Macaca mulatta: one gene and its partners. The protein of the gene in region 1 interacts with the protein of each later gene in a pairwise test. Links are inferred from orthologs where the notes say so. Each region holds a gene or a part of one and is shown on either strand. Other genes may lie near its edges.

Region 1 (7,069 bases):
CTGAGTAGCCAGGACTACTGGCGCCCGCCATCACACCTGGCAAATTTTTCTATTTTCAGTAGAGACAACAGGGTTTCACCATGTTGGCCAGGCTGGTCTTGAACTCCTGACCTCAAGTGATCCTCCCACCTCAGCCTCCCAAAGTGCTGGGATTATAGGTGTGAGCCACTGCACCCAGGCTGCCTTCTTAAAATGACTCCAATGTCACCTCTTAGAGAGGTATTTCCCCATCATTCACTGGTCCACTGAACTGTTTCATTTTTTTTATAGCACCTAACATTATCTGAAATTAAAGTATTTATTGTGTCTCTCCCCGGCTAGAAGGTCAGTTTGCTCAGTAGCTATTTGTAGAATGAATGGATCCTCAGAAACTGCTCCTCCATCCCCTCACCCACCCCTCACTCTCGCCTCCCCTCTCAAACTTCTCGGACTCAGGTGGAATTCTGCTCCTGCGCTCAGCCCTGGGGTTGGCGGGGGCTGGTTGTGGAGCTGGGGGGAGGCGGAGCCTGGGCGTGGACCTGCATAGCCCAACAGGCGCTGGGGGCGGCAGCAAAAAGGGCGGGGGCGACAGGAACATGACAAGACGCCTCTGTGAGGCCCCGGGAGGCCCCAGCTTCTCAGAAAAGCCAAGAACAGAGAGTCCAGGGTGGTTAGAGGGACAGAGCAGAGGAAGGGGGCCCAGGTGGTGTCCCCTGGCCATTCTCCACCACTCCCTTCTGTTAAGAGGGAGAAGAGGCATGAGGGGATGTGGAAGGGAGACAGACTTTTGGGCAGGGAAATAGCAAAACAGTTACGTGCAAACAGCAGACCGTCAGGAGGTGGGGGAAAGCTGGGGAGCAGGGGGCACTGGAGAGAGACAGGCAGGGTCTGTGGCCCCAAGAGAAGCTCAGGCCAGGCTTAAGGACAGAGAGCAGGGAAGCTGGAGGCCAAGGGGGTTTGCTTTGGAAGAGTCTGGGGACAGGACAGGAAGAGAAACAGCATCTTCTCCCCTGGGGTGGGTGCTGAATGCAGGAGTTCAAGAAGAGTTGGGCGGGGAGGGGGTGGGGAGTGGTAGGAAGGGGCGTCACGAGAGACGTGAGCTTGAGGCCAGGAGGGGGTTGGGGGGAGCCAGTCCTGACCGGTCCTGACAGGACCCAGACATCCAGTCCCAGGTTATTTTTATACTGTGGTTTGTGCCCAAGGCCAGGAAGGGGAAAGAGTTCGCATCCTCACACCCCCTGCCTTTCCCCAGCCCTCCGAGGTGTTATATTCTCCCCGCAGGACAGAAGTATCCCACCCTTTTGTCTCTGGCTGCTCACCCCCACCACGGGGACCCAGGCATGCTGCCCCCCCAGCCCGGACTTGTTCCTCTTTTGGAGACAGGAAGGAGAAAGAGTATGGGACTGAACTCCTTCTGGGGCTTTTCTCCCCCACTCCATGGTGGTCACCCTGGAGTTATCAATCACAGAGAGGCTCAGATGGAGGGAGTTGAGACAGACAACTGGGGGGTGAAAAGGATCAACCAGCAAGCCCCCTCCCCATCCCTGAGAGGTGTTCCCCCCACCCAATTTCTCAGTGACACTTGGCCTACAGCAAAGCTGGAGGTAGGACTGAGATGGGTGGCTGGGGGAAAAGAAAGACCCCTACATTCAGGATGGGGCTGCAGTGCAGAGACTAGCAGCGCGCAAAGCCTACCTTTTACCTTTCCTCCCCAAATCCTGGCAGCTCCTCCCCCAGGGACCCAGCTACCCAGCTGAGGCCTCCACCCTCATCACCTAGAGGCAGAGGGGCTGAGACCAAGACAGAAGAAGGCCTGGTGAGGGGGCCACATATGCTATAGGCTACATGAAGACCAAGACAGAGAATCAGAGGCCAGGGAGAAAGAGAGAGGGTGCAGAAAAACAGGAAGGAGGCTGAGACAGAAAATGAAGGAGGAGGAAGGGGCTTCAGAGTGACCTGGCAGGCACAGAGAAGAGGGCTGTCTGATCTGATAGACAAGTAATGGAGGAGGAGGGGGAGGGGGAGGGGAGGGGAAGGGACGGGAAGGAGGAGGGGGAGAAGGAAGGGGAGGAGAAGGGGTGGGAGGAGGGAGTCCCAAGATAGAGGTTAGGCCAGGGCTGATGGGCGAGCCCTAGAACCCAGGTCTTACCTGCCCCATCTCCTCTGGAGCACCCAACTCCATCCGCAGCCGCATGTCTACAGCTTTCCTCCGGGACAGTGGAGGGGTCCTGGTCCCTGAGCCCCCAGCCTCCGCGTCCACCCTCAGAGAGGGCAGGGGCGTGGCAGCCCGGGATGTGCCCGCACTCTCACCGGTCCCAGGCTCTGGGGGGCGCTGCTGGGGTGGGGAGGCCGACAGTGGGGGTGTCTCTGCCTTGGCTTTGCCGGGCACCACCAGCTGGCCCAGTCCCCCAGTGAAGGAGCGGGCCTGAGGTCCGGGAGAGGTGGGGGGTGGACGGAGCCAGGAGGTGGGGCCCTGAGACAGGCCTGACTGTGGGGTGGGGGTGCCCAGGCCGAGGCTGGCCAGCTCCAACCTGGAATCCAAAGATCTGCCCCCGGCGCCCCCTGAGGCCCCTCGAATTCCCTCCAGGAGTCGGCCGAAGCTGTGGGGCTCCAGGTCTCGCTCATAAACATCCACACACGTCCAGCGACCACGGCGATATGGCTCTCCCAGGCCGTGGGGCAGCTTCACCACCCGGAAACGGGAGGAGGGGGCCCCAGGTGGTGGGGAGCCATTCCGGGGGGTGCCCTTGCCCCCCGGATCAGGGCTGGGCTCCCCACTGGGCAGGCGGGGCAGGGGCCCGGTGGGGGGCTGTGGAGTAGGCGGATCTGAAGTCCCTGGGCTCCCCGGGCCCTCATAGTCTGTGGTGACGCTGGTGATTTGGAAACTACTCTTCTTCTTGCCCCCGCTCATGGTCCCTGGGGCTCAGGGCTGGGCCAAGGTTGGGGGTGGGTTGGGACTCCTTGAAGGGGCTCAGGCACCCCTGGAACAAGGGGGCCACATGGTGGGGGCATCCGGGCCCCTGGGGACGTCTGGGTCCGACATGGCAGGAGGGCCTGGTGGGAACCCGGGGTGCCTGCTGGGTGAGGGGAGAAGAGGAGAGGGGAGGTGGCGGGAGGGGGGAGCACGGGCAGGTTTTTCCTGCTGCTGTTGCTGCTGAACTCCAGAGCTGAGTTTGCAAACTGGAAAAAGAGGGAGAGAGAGAGTGTGTGTGTGTGTCTGTGTGTGTGTGTGAAACCAGTGGGCAGGCCACCTCCGGGGCTTCCTCTCCGGGGAGCAGAGTGGGGGAAGGGGAAACCGTCAGAGACCCGGAGACAGGCAAGAGATGACAGAGACCAGGGCAGAGGGGACCAGATCCAAAAAGGCGCTCAGAGTAGGAAGAGGCAGATGAGTTCCAGAGTTGTGCATTTCTCATCTGAGATTCTGACTCAGGGGGCGGGTATTGTCCCAAGAGCTTGGACTCCAGGGCCTGGGAGAACCGGGGTGAAGCAGCTCCCCAGCCTGGCCCGGCCACTCAGAGAGACCTCTCCTGGGCCTCGAGCCCACCCCAGCTCCCACATCCCTGGGGCAGGCCCTGCCCGGCTACCCCCAGCGCCCCACCCAGCCCCGAATCCTACCTCTGGGGCCTCAGCCACTGATCTGAGCCTGAGGGTCCCGGCGCCTAAGAGGTCGGGCTGTGCGTTCCCTGGGGCCTTCTGGCCAGGGGGAGTGGCGGGGCACGCAGGCGGCGATCAGAGGTTGCCCCGTCCTCTCCGGGGGCCTCAGCTCATCCTGGGAGGCATCTCCGAGGAAAGTTTGCTCTCCGGAAAAGAAGGAACCCGCGGCTCCTCCGAGGAGCCCAGGAGCGGCCGCTGAAGCCCCAGGGGTCTGGAGACTGATGTGGGAGAGGGCGGCCGAGCCCCCCGCTGCTCCCGGTGGCAGCCAGCGAGTGGGTGTCTCGAGTCTCCTCCCGCGTGGCCCCGCTGGGTCCGTGTCTCCGCTCCTCCGCTCCCCTGGGTCTCTGCCTCTCCGTCTTTCTCCTTCTGAGCTGTTGACAACCCCCACACCAGGAAGTCCTGCCTCCTCGGGCCTGCTGACTGCTCCTCTCCTCCTCCTCCTCCTCCTCCTTCCCCTCCTCCTCCCCTTCCTCCTCCCTCCCTCCCTCCTGGGGCTTCCCGCCAGCTGGCCCGGGGCCAGGCCTGCCACAGCCGCTGCTGTTGCAGTTGCTGCAGCCACTGCTTAGGCTGCTGCTCCTGGGGGCCCCAAACAGACTCTCTTAACCCCACACCTGCCGGGCCCAGCCCCACTCTTGCAGGCAGGGGCTGCAGAGGGCGGGGCTCGGGGAGAAAGGGGAGGAGCTTGCAGGGAGGCGAGGGATTCCCTTACTTGTAGTCAGTTGCTGCCATTGGCCTAGAGACACACAGAAGAAACGGAAGGCACAGGCCGGGAGGTGTGCTGGATGCCCACCCAGAAGTGCCCAGTCCCTGCTGCGGGGCGGCTGTGGCTGTCATTCTCCTTTGGTTTTCACAGCAACTGCATGAGGAAGGTACTATTATTCCCCCCATTCCTTATTTTTAAAAGTGGATTATTGCCGGACCCCGGTGGTGGCTCATGCCTGTAATCCCCACACTTTGGGAGGTCAAGGAAGGAGGATTGCTTGAGACCAGTTTGGACAATATAATAGCAAGACCTCGTCTCTACAAAACAAACAAAAAAAATTGGCTGGGCATGGTGATGTGCACCTATAATTCCAGCTACTCAAAGGCTGAGGTGGGAGGATCCCTTGAGCCCAGGAGTTTGTGACCAGCCTGGGCAATATAGCGAGATCCCCATCTCTACAAAAAATTAAAAAATAGCACTTTGGGAGGCCGAGGCGGGCGGATCACGAGGTCAAGAGATTGAGACCATCCTGGCCAACATGGTGAAACCCCATCTCTACTAAAAATATAAAAATTAGCCAGGTGTGGTGGCATGCGCCTGTAGTCCCAGCTACTCAGGGGGCAGGAGAATCACTTGAACCCGGGAGGCGGAGGTTGCGGTGAGTAGAGATCGTGCCACTGCACTCCAGCCTGGCGATTAGAGCGAGACCGTCTTAAAAAAAAAAAAAAAAAAAAGCTGAGTGTGGTGATGTAGACCTGTAGTCCCAGCTACTCAGGAGGCTGTGAGGCAGGAGAATCTCTTGAGCCCAGGAGGTTGAGGATGCAGTGAGCCTACATTGTGCCACTGCACTCCAGCCTGGGCAACAGAATGAGACCATGTCTCACCAAAAAAAAAAAAAAAAAAAAAAAAAGTGGATTATTATGAAAATTTTCAAACGTGCCATGCAGACATGGGGAGACCATGCAAACTCCACACGGATGGTGGTCCCAACCCAAAATTAATTTTTAAAAAATCATCAACGTTATAATGAAATGACATTCAATGAAATGACATGTGGGAGCCAGCTGTATTTTGCTGGACTATTTGAAACCAAATCCTGGATGTTATACTATTTCCCTTTGCCCCAACCACTCCCCCACATTTTTTTTAGAGACAGGTGCTCTCTCTCTCTCGCTCTCTCTCTTCTATTGCCCAGGATGGAGTGCAGTGGTGTGATCATAGCTCACCACAGCCTGGAACTCCTAGGCTCAAGCCATGCTCCTGCCTCAGCCTCCCAAGTAGCTAGGACTTTAGATGCACGCCACCACACCCAGCTAATTTTTAAATTTTTGTAGAGATGGGAGCTCTCACCATGTTGCCCAGTATGGTCTCAAACTCCTGGCTTCAGTTGGTCCTCCCGCCTCAGCCTACCAAGTAGCTGGGACTACAGACACACACTACTACGCCTGGCTAAATTTCTTTAAAAAAAAATTTTTTTTGGTAGAGATGGGGGTCTTGCAATGTTGCCCAGGGTCGTCTTGAACTCCTGGCCTCAAGTGATCCTCCTGCTTCTGCCTCCCTAGTAGCTGGGACCACAGGTGTACTCCACCACACCTGGCTAATTTTTTAGTTTTCATAGAGACAGGGTCTTACTATGTTGCCCAGGCTGGCCTCAAATGATACTCCCACCTGGGCCTTCCAAAAAACTGACATTACAGGCGTGAGCCATGGTGCCTGGCCTCAGGGAAATTTCTAACCCCTCTTTAGGGTTAGGTAAAAATAAAACAATGGAATACCTACCCTCGTTATGTATTTGTTCTTTATCTCTTTGTTAGAAACATCCACACTCCTGTTTCTCTCCCTTAAGCCATAGTAACAATGACTGCCATAGCCCAGGTCTGTGAGCCTCCCAAGTAGTGATGTCTGGGAAGCAGCCTCCCACCTGCTCCCTACCCCTCCAGACTGCATCCCTCTGTCCCTCACAGAACCTCTTCTCCTCTAGCAACACTCAGAACATGGCCTTGGTCCCTCCGTCCCCAGGCCCTCCTTCCTTCTTGCTGACTTGCTACAAACTATCCAAAAATTATCTTTGGGGCCGGCCTGGTGGCTCAAGCCTGTAATCCCAGCACTTTGGGAGGCCGAGACGGGCGGATCACGAGGTCAGGAGATCAAGACCATCCTGGCTAACACGGTGAAACCCCGTCTCTACTAAAAAAATACAAAAAACTAGCCGGGCGAGGTGGCGGGCGCCTGCAGTCCCAGCTACTCGGGAGGCTGAGGCAGGAGAATGGCGTGAACCCGGGAGGCGGAGCTTGCAGTGAGCTGAGATCCAGCCACTGCACTCCATCCTGGGCGACAGAGCGAGACTCCGTCTCAAAAAAAAAAAAAAAAAAAATTATCTTTGGGCAATCCCTTTCTCTGCCTCAGGCACTGGTATCTGAGTCTAGAGGCCCTGGCACATTGCTGACCTCTGCAGAAATGTTTGTTGAGTGAATACATACAAATTTTTATGTCTTAATTTAATTTAATTTAATTTGAGATGAAGTCTCGCTCTGTCACCCAAGCTGGAGTGCAGTGCCATGATCTCATCTCACTGCAACCTCCGCCTCCCAGGTTGCAATCCTCCTGCCTCAGCCTCCCGAGTAGCTAAGATTGTAGGCACCCGCCACCACGCCCAGCTAATTTTTGTATTTTTAGTAGAGATGGGGGGGTCTCATCATGTTGGCCAGGCTGGTCTCGAACTCCTGACCTCAA
Region 2 (7,257 bases), on another chromosome or scaffold:
GTGGCCAGGCCAAGGCCACCGACCTCTCCTCCACCACCCCACCCAGGCATGAGCTACCATGAGCTGGATGAGCGGCTTGAAAATGACCCCAACATTATCATCTGCTGGAAGTGAGGCTGGTGGTGGCTGGATGGACACATTGCTGTGGGTAGTCCCTCCTACCAGGAGGCTTGTCATACTGTCTAGAGCTTGACTCTTAGTTCTGTAAATAAAGACATCCATTTCAAACAGCCTTTATTGAGTGCTGCTTCTGGGCCAGCCACCGGAGACCCAGCGGTGAATGAAATAGCTACGAGCTGTGCTCTAGATCGCCATCTGGTGGGCAGGACCGACAATCGACAAGTAAAAGTGCCGGTTAATTACAAAAAAAAAAAAAAATCGTCTGGTCGCGGTGACTCACCTGTAGCCCCAGTTACTCAGGAGGCTGAAGTGGGGGGATCACTTGAGGCCAGGAGTTGGAGGCTACATTTAGCTGTGATCCCATCACTGCACCCCAGCCTGGGTGATAGAGCAAGACCCCATCTCAATAATAATAATAAACCTAGAAAGAAACAGATGTAGCTGGGTGCTGTGGCTCATACCTATAATCCCAGCACTTCGGGAGGCTGAGACGGGTAGATCACCTGAGGTCAGATGGTCAAGAACAACCTGGCCAACATAGTGAAACCCCATCTCCACTAAAAAAAATATAAAAAATTAGCCAGGTGTGGTGGTGCGCACCTGTAATCCCAGCTACTCAGGAAGCTGAGGCAAGAGAATCACTTGAACCTGGGAGGCAGAGGTTGCAGTGAGCCGAGATCATGCCACTGCACTCCAGCCTAGGTGACAGGAGACTCAATCTCAAAAAAAGGAACAGATGTGATCAAGAGTGAGTTGGGAGGTCGAGGCAGGTGGATCACGAGGTCAGGAGTTCAAGACCAGCCTGGCCAAGGTGGTGAAACCCTGTCTCTACTAAAAATACAAAAAACCGCGTGTGTGGTGGGTGCCTGTAATCCCAGCTACTTGGGAGGCTGAGGCAGAGAATGGCTTGAACCCAGGAGGTGAAAGTTGCAGTGAGTGAGACCACACCACTGCACTCCAGCCTGGGTGACAGACTGAGACTCTCAAAAAAAAAAAAAAAAAAAAAAAAAAAAAAAAAAGTGGGTTGGAGGCAGGGACTGCTCTGGATTAAACGGCCAAGAAAGGCCATACTGAGATGTAAACTGAGCCCTGAAGGAAGAGTATTCCAGGCAAAGTGCAAAACCCTGAGGCAAAACCTCTTTGGAATGTATGAGGTAGGTCCAGGGAAGAAAGGAGGAGAGGAAAGAATCCAAGTCCCGAGGTACAAGACAGGCAAGAAGTAGGTCTTGCAGAGCTGCTGGTAAGCAGCACCCGACCTAGCATTTTGAGGGCCAGAGGTAGTTGCAGAGCCCCTCTCATGTGAAGGAATGATGCCTATACACTTTTTTTTTTTTTTTTTTGAGACAGAGTCTCCCTTTGTTGTCCAAGCTGGAGTGCAGTGGTGGAATCTTGCCTCACTGCAAACTCCGCCTCCTGTGCTCAAGCGATTCTCCTGCCTCAGTCTCCCGAGTAGCTGGGACAACTGGTGTGTGCTACCACACCTGTCTAATTTTTGTACTTTTTTTTTTTTTTTGAGACGGAGTCTTGCTCTGTGGCCCAGGCTGGAGTGCAGTGGCCTGATCTCAGCTCACTGCAAGCTCCGCCTCCCGGGTTTACGCCATTCTCCTGCCTCAGCCTCCCAAGTAGCTGGGACTACAGGCGCCCGCCACCTCGCCCGGCTAGTTTTTTGTATTTTTTAGTAAAGACGGGGTTTCACCGTGTTAGCCAGGATGGTCTCGATCTCCTGACCTCGTGATCCGCCCGTCTCGGCCTCCCAAAGTGCTGGGATTACAGGCTTGAGCCATCGCGCCCGGCCTAATTTTTGTACTTTTAATAGAGACAGGGTTTCACCATGTTGCCCAGGCTGGTCTCAAACTCCTGACCTTAAGTGATCTGCCCGCCTCGGCCTCCCAAAGTGTTGAGATTACAGGCGTGAGCCACCGCGCCCGGCGTGATACACACTTTTAAGGCTCCGGGGCTGTCCGTGAGGATCAAGCGTGGAAGTAAGTCTACAGAAAAGGCTGCCGCAGTTAACCCACGACAGGTGATGACAGTCTGGACATAGGGAGGATGGAGAGAAGTCGTGCGCCCTGGCAGTATTTCAGGAGCCAACTAATGGAGCCGGGACGCGAGAAACAGAGGAATCAGGAAGCCATAAGGAGGAGGTGGAGCAGCGGGTGGGTCAAGATGCCGCAGCAGCAGCAGGAGGAGCTCGTGGGGTCGGGGTTACCCCCATCCCCGTGCAAGCCGACTTGGCGTCCGAGGGCAGAGTCCAGACCACAAGGAACTGGAGCTCAGGAGAGACTCGTGGTCCACATCGCGAGAAAGCTGTGGGAATCCAAATACTGTGGCGATTGGCAGCCCCGTAGGCGAGGCGGGCTGGAGACCCGCCCGGATTTAGGCGCGAGCCACCTCCAGGGGCGGAGCCCAGGCCGCACTGCGCAGGCGCGGCTAACCCGTTTCCATGGCTGCGAGAACTCACGCTCCCCAACCGTCCCACAACTGTCCTGTCCCAGACTTTGGCACCGTCGGGGTCCGTCGTCCCCGAGTGTGTCAGCATCCCCACCCCGGCTGCTGCCCAGGATCCGCCGGACCCCGGCCTCGATATGGGAGACCTGGAACTGCTGCTGCCCGGGGAAGCTGAAGTGCTGGTGCGGGGTCTGCGCAGCTTCCCGCTACGCGAGATGGGCTCCGAAGGGTGAGGCACCCGGGTCAGGCGGAGTCACGGAGTCATTGTCCCTGAGTGGGGGAGCTGGAGCCTGACATGGGGGGAGGGGCTGCCCAGTGTGGAGGGGCTCCCAAATGGGGGAGCAGAGTGTTCCGAGACAGGAATATAATTGTTCCTGAGCCCCCTGTGCCCCCTCAGGATCAGGTTAGGCTTCAATAGGATCCAGCCCCCATCCCCACTCCAAATGCACACACGTGGACCCACATGCACTTACACAACCCTCTGAGGCAGGTGGAACCAGCAGCACGAGAACCTGGAGAAGCTGAACATGCAAGCCATCCTGGATGCCACAATCAGCCAGGGCGAGCCCATTCAGGAGCTGCTGGTCACCCATGGGAAGGTACCCCGAGGTCACAGGCAGGGTTCCTGCCTTCCCCCATACCTCACCTACTCTAACCCTCAGGAGTCCCCTGTGTGCTTTTCCCCTCTGGCCTGGTACACCTGTCCTCCCTGAAGGGGAGAGAGGAATGTGTTACATGTTTCATTTTGTGTCGCTGTTGGACAGGACTCTGGCACACCAGGCTAGGTACAGGGCATGAGTTGATTAGGGAGAAAGCTGTAGGTCCTAAAACAGCTTAGGCTTCGAGGGGAAGGCCCAAATGCTAAAGGCATCTGTGAATTGACTGTAAGGCTGGGGAGGGGGTGGGGAGGGCAGGAGGGAGGGGAGATAACTTAACTGGAAGTAGAACTTTGGCATGGAAGGAGGCAGCCTTCCTAACATGAGAGGGGAAAGTTAGAAACCAATGAGATGGCTGGCTGGAACATGGACCAGGGAGTGTCACCAGCAGATGACCTGAGATATCAATTGACCAAAAAAAAAAAAAAAAAAAAAAAAAGCCAGGCATGGTGGCTCATGCCTGTAATCCTAGCACTTTGAGAGGCCAAGACGGGTGGATCACCTGGGGTCAGGAGTGCAAGGCCAGCCTGACCAACATGGTGAAACCCTGCCTCTACTAAAAATACAAAAATTTGCTGAGCATGGTGGTGCACACCTGTAATCCCAGCTACTCGGGAGGCTGAGGCAGGAGAATCGCTTGAACCTAGGAGACAGAGGTTACAGAGAGCCGAGATCGTGCCACTGCACTCCAGCCTTGGTGACAAGAGTGAAACTCTGTCTTAAAAAAAAAAAGAGTTCCTTTGCAAGAGAAAGGTGGAACTCATACAAGGGGATAGGATAAGAAGAACAGGGCACTGTGAAGGGTCCTGAGTAAGAGTGAGGCCAAGGCACACAAGAGCCTTAGAGAACCACAGGACAGGGACAAGAGGGAGGGCATGAGCAGAAGGGCTGACTTGAAAGGGACGCCTGAATGGGCGGGGAGAGGATAAGGGGGCAGGTGCAGGCAGGGCAAGGCAGTCTGGGAACTGGGCAGGAGCCAGTCACATAAGCATGAGGGACATCCACAGAGGTGTTGGGAGCAGCTGGAAACGAAGGTCCGAAATGCAAGAGAAAAGTCAGGAAGGATAGCCATGGGGTTTGGGATAGTTTAGGGGCCCAGCAGTGTTTGGGGAGATCTGGGCTGAGCTGAGCCAAGCTGGGGATAGGAGGGTTGCCAGGCAAAGGTAGGCCCATCTCATCCCTGTCCTTTACCCCATCCTTCAAAGGTCCCAACGCTGGTGGAGGAGTTGATCGCAGTGGAGATGTGGAAGCAGAAGGTGTTCCCCGTGCTCTGCAGGGTGGAGGACTTCAAGCCCCAGAACACCTTTCCCATCTACATGGTGGTGAGCTGGGCCCCTGGTTCATACCTCCTCCCACTCCTTCAGAGGGCTCTGGACTGGGGAGGGGAGCTGGTAGCCCCTATCCCTACCACAGGCCCTGTCCCTCTCTTTGTCTGTCAGGTGCACCACGAGGCCTCCATCATCAACCTCTTGGAGACAGTGTTCTTCCACAAGGTGAGGGACTATCTCTGCCCATGGGCCACAGTTTCAGGTCAGGGCCTGGCAGGAAGGGAGGTTGTATCTGTGTGGGGAGGGCATCAGACACAGAAAGTTTCCCTCCCCCTTTCCCCAGGAGGTGTGTGAGTCAGCAGAAGACACTGTCTTGGACTTGGTAGACTATTGCCACCGCAAACTGACTCTGCTGGTGGCCCGGAGTGGCTGTGGTGGCCCCCCTGAAGGGGAGGGGTCCCAGGACAGCAACCCCATGCAGGTGGGTTGAGGTTACCTAGGATTGTGAAAGCCTAGGTCTGGGTTCCCCAAGGCCTGCACAGGCAAGGGTAGCCCAGCATGAACACTGTGTGACCTCGCAGGAGCTGCAGAAGCAGGCAGAGCTGATGGAATTTGAGATTGCACTGAAGGCCCTCTCAGTACTGCGCTACATCACAGACTGTGTGGACAGGTGGGCAGTCCGACTGGGCCTGGGCCTACCGTGGAGGGCTGGAAGACTGGGCCTGTAGCCTGCCTCTGCTCACCTCCTTCACAACGTCCCTGCCCCTAGCCTCTCTCTCAGCACCTTGAGCCGTATGCTTAGCACACACAACCTGCCCTGCCTCCTGGTGGAACTGCTGGAGCATAGTCCCTGGAACCGGCGGGAAGGAGGTAGGGTCCTCCCACACCAGCCTAAGCCCCAGGCTACTGCTTCAGGATATCTTTTTGATAGAGGGGGCAGTTTGCACACACGAAGACAAACCCCGTCCCCAAGCCCATCTGAGGATACCAGGATGCCTCAGCCAAGAGTGGCCTAGACCTGAGCTCTGCAGCAGGCCAGGCCCATGTGTCCACTACTGAGGCTCACTCTGCTCTGGGGTCAGCAGCACTATAGCCTGGGCAAGTCCTGTGGCCCAGGTTCTCCCACCATTCCCAGGCAGTGGTCAGTCTCCCAGGCCCCACAGCTGGCTCACTTGAAGAGAATGCAATGCCTGTACCCAGTGTGCTGGTTCCTCTCCCCAGGCAAGCTGCAGCAGTTCGAGGGCAGCCGTTGGCATACTGTGGCCCCCTCAGAGCAGCAAAAGCTGAGCAAGTTGGACGGGCAAGTGTGGATAGCCCTGTACAACCTGCTGCTAAGCCCTGAGGCCCAGGCGCGCTACTGCCTCACAAGTTTTGCCAAGGGACAGCTACTCAAGGTCGGACTCCCTCTGCACCAGCCCCCACAGCCCCAGCACCGCCCTCCCCATCCTACCCTGACCCTGTCCCTGCTGTTTATCTTTGCCCACCCACCTCAAACCCCGTGCTCTTTTCAGTCCTTGGGCCTCAGGTGACACACCAGCTAGTGGGACATGGACCCCCACAGGCATGCTCAGCCCAACCCAGCCCCTTCCTTTTCCGTGGCCCCCTGGCCAGCACCTGCATCACACTGGCCTCCACTGGACACTCTTGCAGCTTCGGGCCTTCCTCACAGACACACTACTGGACCAGCTGCCCAACCTGGCCCACTTGCAGAGTTTCCTGGCCCATCTGGCCCTGACTGAAACCCAGCCCCCTAAGAAGGACCTGGTGTTGGAACAGGTAGACACTGGAAAGTTAGCTCCTCAGGACCACTGTCCTACTTTACCAGCACCTTCCTGCCACTCTCCACTCCTTTCCCTAGATCCCAGAAATCTGGGAGCGGCTGGAGCGAGAAAACAGAGGCAAGTGGCAGGCAATTGCCAAGCACCAGCTCCAACATGTGTTCAGCCCCTCACAGCAGGACCTGCGGCTGCAGGCACAAAGGTAAGTCCTGTGGAACTGGCAGGAGGAGTGGATGGGATGCAGGAGGCATGGATGTGGGCAGGGATGCCCCCACCTTCCAAGGCCAGTCAGATCTTCCTGACTTTCCCCCAGGTGGGCTGAGACCTACAGGCTGGACGTGCTAGAGGCAGTGGCTCCAGAGCGGCCCCGCTGTGCTTACTGCAGTGCAGAGGCTTCTAAGCGCTGCTCGCGATGCCAGAATGAGTGGTATTGCTGCAGGTGAGGGTATCCTAGGACCTTGGACCCCTAAGTCCTACTGCCACATCCCCCACATGCACTGCCCTCCTCAACACCCACCTGCCTGCAGGGAGTGCCAAGTCAAGCACTGGGAAAAGCATGGAAAGACTTGTGTCCTGGCAGCCCAGGGTGACAGAGCCAAATGAGGGTTGCAGTTGCTGAGGGCCAACCACCTATGCCAAGGGAATCCACCCAGAATGCACCCCTGAACCTCAAGATCACGGTCCAGCCTCTGCCGGAGCCCCAGTCTCCGCAGTGGAGAGCAGAGCCAGCGGTAAAGCTGCTGACCCATCCCCCTCCTCCCCACCCCAAGGGAAGGCTCGAGACTTCCTGCCCCACCTGGTGGGCAGGCCAAGTGCGTTGCCTCAGCAAACTGGGCCAGGAGGGCGAAGGCCGGATGTGGGGACCCTCTTCCTCTAGCACAGTAAAGCTGGCCTCCAGAAACACGGGTATCTCCGTGTGGTGCTTTGCGGTCGCCGTCTTTGTGGCCATCCGGGGTGGGGTGTGAGGAGCGGACGAAGGAGGGAAGG
Region 3 (7,219 bases), on another chromosome or scaffold:
CTTTTAGATTCATCCTAATTTTATTTTTGATACAAGAAAACAGATCAGGTATAACACAAATCATTATACAATTTTTTACCATAAAAGAAATGCTCTGAAGTAGCACTATGAATGCTATGAAAATACTTCAGAGAGGTCCTTATACAGTTCCGAAGGGCCAACGAAAATGTCTTTAAGCAAAGTAACATTTAAGTTAAGAAAGAGTGTGAATATAATTAGGAATCTGAGCAGATAAAGTGAAATTTCTGGGTAGAGAAGGAATGTACATTATGGAAAGTACTAAGGTGGAAAAGAACATGGAGGGCCAAGTTATTGAAAGGAGCAGACAGACGAGGAAAGTAATCTAATAGCGGGCTTCCCATGCAGGCAGAAACCAGATAAGGCCAAACTCATGAACTTCGAATTTTCATTAAAAAAAAAAAAAAGTATAAATATTTAAACCGAAGTAGACTACAAACTCCTCAAAAGACACAGACCATTCCTTCTAAACCTCATGTCTTATGTCTCCTCATAGGGTACAGACATTTAGTACTTCCTCTGTACACAGAAAAATCATAATTATGCCAGTCTTTTAATTTCTAGAATTTCCAGGTTATACTAAATTATTTGTAGCTTCAGAGAACTTAAAAACTACAATACCATGAAACTCAAGAAAATCTTTCCGGAAGTGCTGATTGTTAATATCAAGTTCCTTAGAAACAAGAGGCAGTTTTTATGTGGAAAAACATGGGCACCATGTTCTACCAGCGTGATGCCAAAATTCTAGCTCTACCCAAGCTTCCAGTGGAAGGCGCGAAGGACATCCAACTCTCTTGCTTCTTACTCCGCACTTTCCCTGACACTGTTCTTCACATCAAGGATTGTGATTTATACACACACAGAGATGAAAGGATTTAAGGAAAATTTACTGGGTCAAGTCAGCCTGCAACCTATCACACCCATCCCTTACTCTTCAAACTGATCAAAACATGATATACAACACTGTACAGGCAGAACTCTAAGCCAGTTCCCCACATTCCTGGCCCCTAGAGAGCACACCTACATAATCCCCTCCCCGGAGTCTGGGTAGGAAAACTACAAATATGAGCAGATATCACTTCTGGGACTAGGTTCATCAAAAGGGAGATGTGACTGGGTCTGACTTAATCAGGTGAGCCTTTAAAAGGGGCTGGGGTCTCCCCGAAATCACAGAGATGGGAAGTGTGAGAAGGCTTGTGGAAGGGCTAGCTGACAAACATAGCTGGCCTCTGGCCAACAGCTGGCGAGACAAAATGGACCTCAGTCCAACAACCCCAAGGAAATTCCGCCAGAGGGCTTAGAAGGACCCCAAACCTCAGATGAGATCCCACTTGCAGACCCTTCGATTTCAACCTTGTGTGACTGAGCAAAGCAGTCAACAATGCCACGTCCAGACTTCTGACCTACAGGACTGAGAAAACGAATAGGTGTTGTTTTGAAGTCACTGATGTGTGGTAATTCGTTATGCAGCAAACGGAAAACTAACAACACTCAAGTATTTCTCTTATAATGTCTGGCAGATATGAGAGTTTTTCAGGCGTCGTTTTACAAATATCTTCCTAGCTGCTTTAAGAATAAACTTCTTTCAAAATGGACATGAACATTAATTGTGCAATATGTCCTTAATAATTCTCACCCTTTTCAATGAAAAGTCATTGAGTTTGGTGAGTCAAGATTCATTGAAAAATTCTTCAATGTTGATGGGCCTCTTTGGTGAGGTGACCTTATTCCTGTCCTGCCCCCTAAGGGTGGGCAGGGTGGACAGAACGCAGCCTGGACTTCCGGATGCAGCCCCCTACCGCCCGACTTGCCTACCCCGCTGGCCTCGGAGGGGTGGCCCTAAGCCCAGGACAGACGTGGACAAAGGGCAGAAAAAAGGATGCAGTTCTCTTTAATCCCTAACCCAATTTCTCGGGAAAAGCCGCGCTCCCACACAGAAGGCGAACCCTCTAAAGCTGTGGGTTGGCTGCTGTGCACGTAGTCGCTTTAGGAATTCCCAAAGCATCTAGCGGAAGTTTAGATCTTTCACTAGGGGTCACATGGGCCAGTACGGGCGCAGCTGGCAAACCGTTCCTTTCAGTTTGAAAGTATCTTTGAAACTCGGAAACTGTGCTCCTTGGTCTTTCAGTTCATAAGCCTAGAGAGCGGCTACTGAAATTGGAATCGACATCTTCTTCCCTCGGCCCCAACTAGTAAACCACGACCAGAAGACACAGCCTAACCTAAACCTACCGGAGTGTCACAACCGGCAAGCGCGAGCAGGTCCACCAACTCCGCCTGCGCAAACCGGCCGTTCCCGCGAGATCGCAGGAAGGCGGAGAGAAAGGGCAGGGCCCCGCCGCGTGGGGCGGGGCTTAGAGGCTCGTCGCGCCTGCGCAGAGGACCGGACAACGCGCTGCGTCGTTACTTTTGAAACGCTTGGCGGGGAAGTGCTGTGGGAGCCGCTGTGGTTGCTGTCCGCCGAGTGCAAGTGCGTGCCTTTGTTTGTGTCCCTGGCCATGGCGCTGCAGCTCTCCCGGGAGCAGGGAATCACCCTGCGCGGGAGCGCTGAAATCGTGGCCGAGTTCTTCTGTAAGTCCTCGCGCCGGCCATTATATTGGGGGGAACTGAGTCGTGGCGGCTCAGTAGGCCCACAGCTCGGCCTCTGAGACCGGAGAAGTAATCTGGGAGCGGCGGCTGCAGGCTGTTCCTCCTGACGCGTTGCTATAACGTGGAGCTGCAAGCCTGCGTGCTGCTGGGGCCTACCTCGCGGCGTAGCCTCTTCCGGAGCGTTTCTTCCTTTAAGTGCAGATCCGTCCCACCTCCCACCCCTTACTTTCCGATACAGGACACAGCGTGACTGGGGTGGGTCCCAGTGTGGGTGTGTATGTGTGTGTTTTTTTTAACTGCGAGAGCACCCTCACCCTCCCACTCTAAGTGATTATTAGGCATGAGGCTGGCGGTAAACAAGATTTTGGGAACCCTTGTTCTCGAACAGGCCAGCTGCACGTTGTAAAGGAACCTGGCAGGATTTGGGAGGGAAAGGGGAAGATACAGGCTTGTCTGGAGCAAAGTGACTATTCAGTCAGTTGCTGACTCGAATGCAACAGCCTATTTTGACATCCTCTAGCCTCATAATCTGAATTTGGACTTGGATTACAATGAGGTGAAATTTGGCAATAGTAGGTTGATACACTTTGGCTTTTTTTTTCCTTGGCACGTGAAAACAATTATCTTTTTTTACTTAGATACAAGACTTTTAAGGATTTTTAATGCCACTTTGTACCTACTCTGCTTTCAGCAAGATACACGTGTGTTCAGTCATTTATAGCTGTATAGCCTAATGAAAATATAGCCACATCCAAATATATTTTATTTTCCAGAGTTATGCAGTGATAATGAATTTTCTGTAACATTTCTTTTGCTTGCAGCATTCGGCATCAACAGCATTTTATATCAGCGTGGCATATATCCATCTGAAACTTTTACTCGAGTGCAGAAATACGGACTCACCTTGCTTGTAACTACTGATCTTGAGCTCATAAAATACCTAAATAATGTGGTGGAACAACTAAAAGGTATTTAATCATTGGAAATAATTTGAGTCTTGCAGATTTTTTAGCATCTCAAGTGGTCATTTTTCCGCTCTGCAAATAGAAGTGTACTCACATCTCAAATATATTTTAAGTTGAGAGGAAGCAAATAATATATAAAATGGAAGAAATTCACTCTTCCCCCACTACATTGTGAGTGGGCTGAATATTTTGATGTAAGAAATCTGATATGGCTGAAAAATAGTCTTCATCAACTCCCTTAGAAGTGGCTTTCGCAGTTAATGTGGCCAAATGGAACAGGTTGGAATTTTACATAATTATAATGGTGTTCACTATCTGAGAAAATATACACTACATATTCTCAATATAATGTATTTTCTGTAACTAATTAGTTTTCTGTAGTCTAATGTTATCATTAGATTAATATCAAGGAAATTGGATTCAACCAGATAAACTTCAAAAAAAGAAAAAGATTAGCTGCTAAATGACAGAACACTCACAGTTTTTTTGTTTGTTTGTTTTGTTTTTCACATATTTCTGTTTGTCGTTTTCAAAAATTCTGCCGGTGATTCAGTAAGCCTTTTCTGTCTGAACGTTCGTTTTTCTTTAGTTCGAGAAATTGCTGTATTACCTGTCGGGTGAATACTTGTTCTTCATCTATTTCTTTTTCCTTTCTAGAATTCCTGTTAGTTTCTCTTTCTTGTTACCCTCCACTTAGGATTCTCATTTCTAATTTTTCAAATGTTTCTCCCATTTGATCTTCTAAAATTTTTGAAAGTACTACAGTGGGCATCTTTTTTTTTTTTTTTTTTTTTTTTAGAAATTATTTCTTTTGTTGTTGACCAGAAATGTGTCTTTGTTTTGCCGTTTTTATTGCATTTTTACTAACCTATTTTTAATATGCCCTTCCGATAATGGCCATGTGAACTTTTTTAGCTTGATAACTCTCTTTCAACCTATACTATCCTCTAGATAAACTGTTAACATTGCCTTGCCTTTTATGTGTACAGGAGTGGAATGCCTCAACAACCTGTGGATGTTACGTCTTAAATTGACAGGCAAGGGAAGATAGCCCTGTTGACATTTTGGCCTGGATATTTCTTTGGTGTGGGTGCTTTTCTGTGTGTTATAGAATGTTTACCAACATCTATGGCCTTTACTAACCAAATGCCAGTAACAAACCACCTTGCTCTGACAACCAAAAGTGTCTCCATAAATTATATTGCCAGATGTGCCCAAGGGGACAAAATTGCCCTTAGTTGAGAACTGCTGCTGTAGTAGATTGGTATTGTCAAAATAGCAAGATGAGACCTCTTTTGGTGTGGGAATAGACCTCTGTTCTCAAGTGTACACAGGAAAGACATTGATAGGAGTGTCCACCTCTCCCAGAGTTGCATCCAAAATTGGGGGTCAGGAATAAATCATCTGTAGTGATTCATAGGGCTGCACTCAGATCATTTGGCCTGGAACCTCTAGGCAACTATGGATGTGTGTTTCCATCTTAATTTGCTAGAGAAGCAAGCATTGCCTAAGCCAATGGTTTTTAGGTTGTCTTCTTTGAGACTGCATTGAAGCCAATGGTTTTTAGGTTGTCTCCTTTGAGACTGCATTGATGACACTTCACGTTATGTGTGTCTAGACCTTCCTATTTAACTTCTCCCTTTTATTTTAGTTAAAGTGGAAAAATTGCTCTTCCCTAGAGGCAAGTTGTTCTGTTTGTTTTTTGTTTGGAGTCTCACTCTGTCACCCAGACTGGAGTGCAGTGGCGTGATCTCCACTCACTGCAACCTCTGCCTCCCGAGTAGCTGAGATTATAGGCGCCTGCCACTATGCCCGGCTAATTTTTGTATTTTTACCAGAGACGTGGTTTCACCATTTTGGCCAGGCTAGTCTTGAACTCCTGACCTCGTGATTCACCCACCTCTGTCTCCCAAAGTGCTGGGATTACTGGCGTGAGCCACCACACCCAGCCAGTTGTTTTGTTTTGAATGTCATTTCCTCTAGCCTTTTTTAGGGTCTTGATCCTGTTCTCTGTTATATTTTCTGCTTCTGTGTTTTGATTTTAATTATCCCCATTGTTTTCATCTCTCCAGTTTTAAAGGAAGAACAAATTACCACCCAGTCTCCTCCTTTTCAGAGTGAAACTCATAAAAAGTTGTTGATAAATGCCAGGGATCACAAGGCCCACAGGCCGCATCCAACAGGTGGCCTGTTTTTGCACTGCCCACAAGCTAAGAATATTTTTACACTTCAGGTTTGTTTAAAAATAAGCAACAGAGACCTTGGTGGCCTATAAGCTTAAAATATTTACTAATTACTCTTTTTTGTAATTTTTCTTTACAAAGTTTCTTTACAAAAACTTCGCTGACTCCTGAATATGCTGTTTCAATTTCCAAGATTACTTCAAGGCTCAATCTGAGCCCCCGTTCTGTCTTTATAATTTCTCTATAGGTGATTTCTGACCTGTGTATAGCTTCACTAGCAACCTCTGTGTAGTCAACTCACAAACTTATATATCTATCCCAAAGCCTCTTTCTCCAGACTCATATATTCAGCAGCTATATCTTTATGTAGCTATCCCAGAGATAACATATACTCAAGCATACTAAAAATTAAATTTAGGATCATATCCAAAACTGATACTCTTTAATTTTCTCTCTGTCAGTGGCTAAACCGTCCAAACAGAAATAAAAGAAACTTGGAAGCTGTCCCTGAATCATGCTTCTTCCTTACTACCATGACTAAACCCAATAAATTTTAACCATGAAATCTCTTACATTTACCTACTGCTTCGTCTCTACCAGTTTATCCTCCTACAAGCTTTCATTAACTCTTGCTCGAATTACTGATGGACCAACTAGTGTCTCTAGATCCCCTCTTTAACATCTCCAGTCTACTTTCCATATCACAGCTAGAATGATAGTTTTGAAATACAAGACTAATTGCTTTACATCCTGCTTCACACACAGTAATGACTTCACTGGTCTTGAAGTGCATATTTTTTAAATTTGATCCACCAGGCTTTGCGTGGTCTGGCTTCTATTAATCTTGCAAGGATTGTATTGTTTTATTTTGTTTGTTTGTTTGTTTCTTGATTGCACTTGTAGTGAGCTGCTTCCAGTCTTCTAGTTATATGCTCTTCCCTTGTGAGTATTTGAGGCCTGTATCTTCTTTCCTATCCTTTTGCATATTTAATGCTGTTTATCCCTAGAGCTAAACTCAAACCTTTTCTGACCTCCGTAAGTGGCTCAAATTTTCCTTCTTTTATGCTCTCATTGCATCTTACATCTCTCTTTCATAGCAGCCATTACAATGATAATTTGTCATTTATTGGTGTGATGAGTAGATGAATGCCCATCTCCTATGCTTTTATCTTGGATTAGGATGAAAGTACCATATGTTCAGTATTCTGTCCTCAGCACCAATTACTGTACCTGGTACAGATACTGAGAATTTGAAAACAGAAGTTAGAGTATTGATGGTGCAAATTTTCTTGCACGTAGGAGGAAGTCCAAGATAGCAGTGGTAGGAATTTGCTGAGGATAGGGAGTAGGACCTGAGAAGAGAGCTACTTTATGATGCAGTGGACCAAGAAAGATGCCTTCATTTTTATGTGTTGCAGATTGGTTATACAAGTGTTCAGTTCAGAAACTGGTTGTAGTTATCTC

Evidence for each region. The genes of interacting proteins can lie anywhere in the genome.
Region 2: the proteins of TSC22D4 (region 1) and ZMYND10 interact in binary tests that used the Homo sapiens proteins (3 or more experiments, as listed by UniProt). The two-hybrid records come from large-scale screens. The link is inferred for Macaca mulatta from reciprocal best matches to the Homo sapiens genes TSC22D4 and ZMYND10.
Region 3: the proteins of TSC22D4 (region 1) and MAD2L1 interact in binary tests that used the Homo sapiens proteins (3 or more experiments, as listed by UniProt). The two-hybrid records come from large-scale screens. The link is inferred for Macaca mulatta from reciprocal best matches to the Homo sapiens genes TSC22D4 and MAD2L1.

The regions. Positions count from the first base shown.
Region 1 is NC_133408.1:47,676,222-47,683,290, forward strand, and holds the start of TSC22D4 (TSC22 domain family protein 4), read right to left. Parts: upstream 4,016-7,069; 5' UTR 3,595-4,015; intron 3,160-3,594; exon of another isoform or gene 3,057-3,159; 5' UTR 2,891-3,056; coding exon 2,129-2,890; intron 1-2,128.
Region 2 is NC_133407.1:113,820,592-113,827,848, reverse strand, and holds ZMYND10 (zinc finger MYND domain-containing protein 10), read left to right. Parts: upstream 1-2,479; 5' UTR 2,480-2,705; coding exon 2,706-2,797; intron 2,798-3,058; coding exon 3,059-3,167; intron 3,168-4,429; coding exon 4,430-4,546; intron 4,547-4,663; coding exon 4,664-4,717; intron 4,718-4,835; coding exon 4,836-4,973; intron 4,974-5,073; coding exon 5,074-5,162; intron 5,163-5,261; coding exon 5,262-5,362; intron 5,363-5,627; coding exon of another isoform or gene 5,628-5,713; coding exon 5,714-5,886; intron 5,887-6,142; coding exon 6,143-6,268; intron 6,269-6,350; coding exon 6,351-6,472; intron 6,473-6,583; coding exon 6,584-6,709; intron 6,710-6,797; coding exon 6,798-6,873; 3' UTR 6,874-7,171; downstream 7,172-7,257. Other genes in the region: GATOR1 complex protein NPRL2, read left to right, coding at 47-114. UniProt on the Homo sapiens protein: Plays a role in axonemal structure organization and motility. Involved in axonemal pre-assembly of inner and outer dynein arms (IDA and ODA, respectively) for proper axoneme building for cilia motility.
Region 3 is NC_133410.1:128,904,796-128,912,014, reverse strand, and holds the start of MAD2L1 (mitotic spindle assembly checkpoint protein MAD2A), read left to right. Parts: upstream 1-2,441; 5' UTR 2,442-2,516; coding exon 2,517-2,589; intron 2,590-3,428; coding exon 3,429-3,575; intron 3,576-7,173; coding exon 7,174-7,219. UniProt on the Homo sapiens protein: Component of the spindle-assembly checkpoint that prevents the onset of anaphase until all chromosomes are properly aligned at the metaphase plate.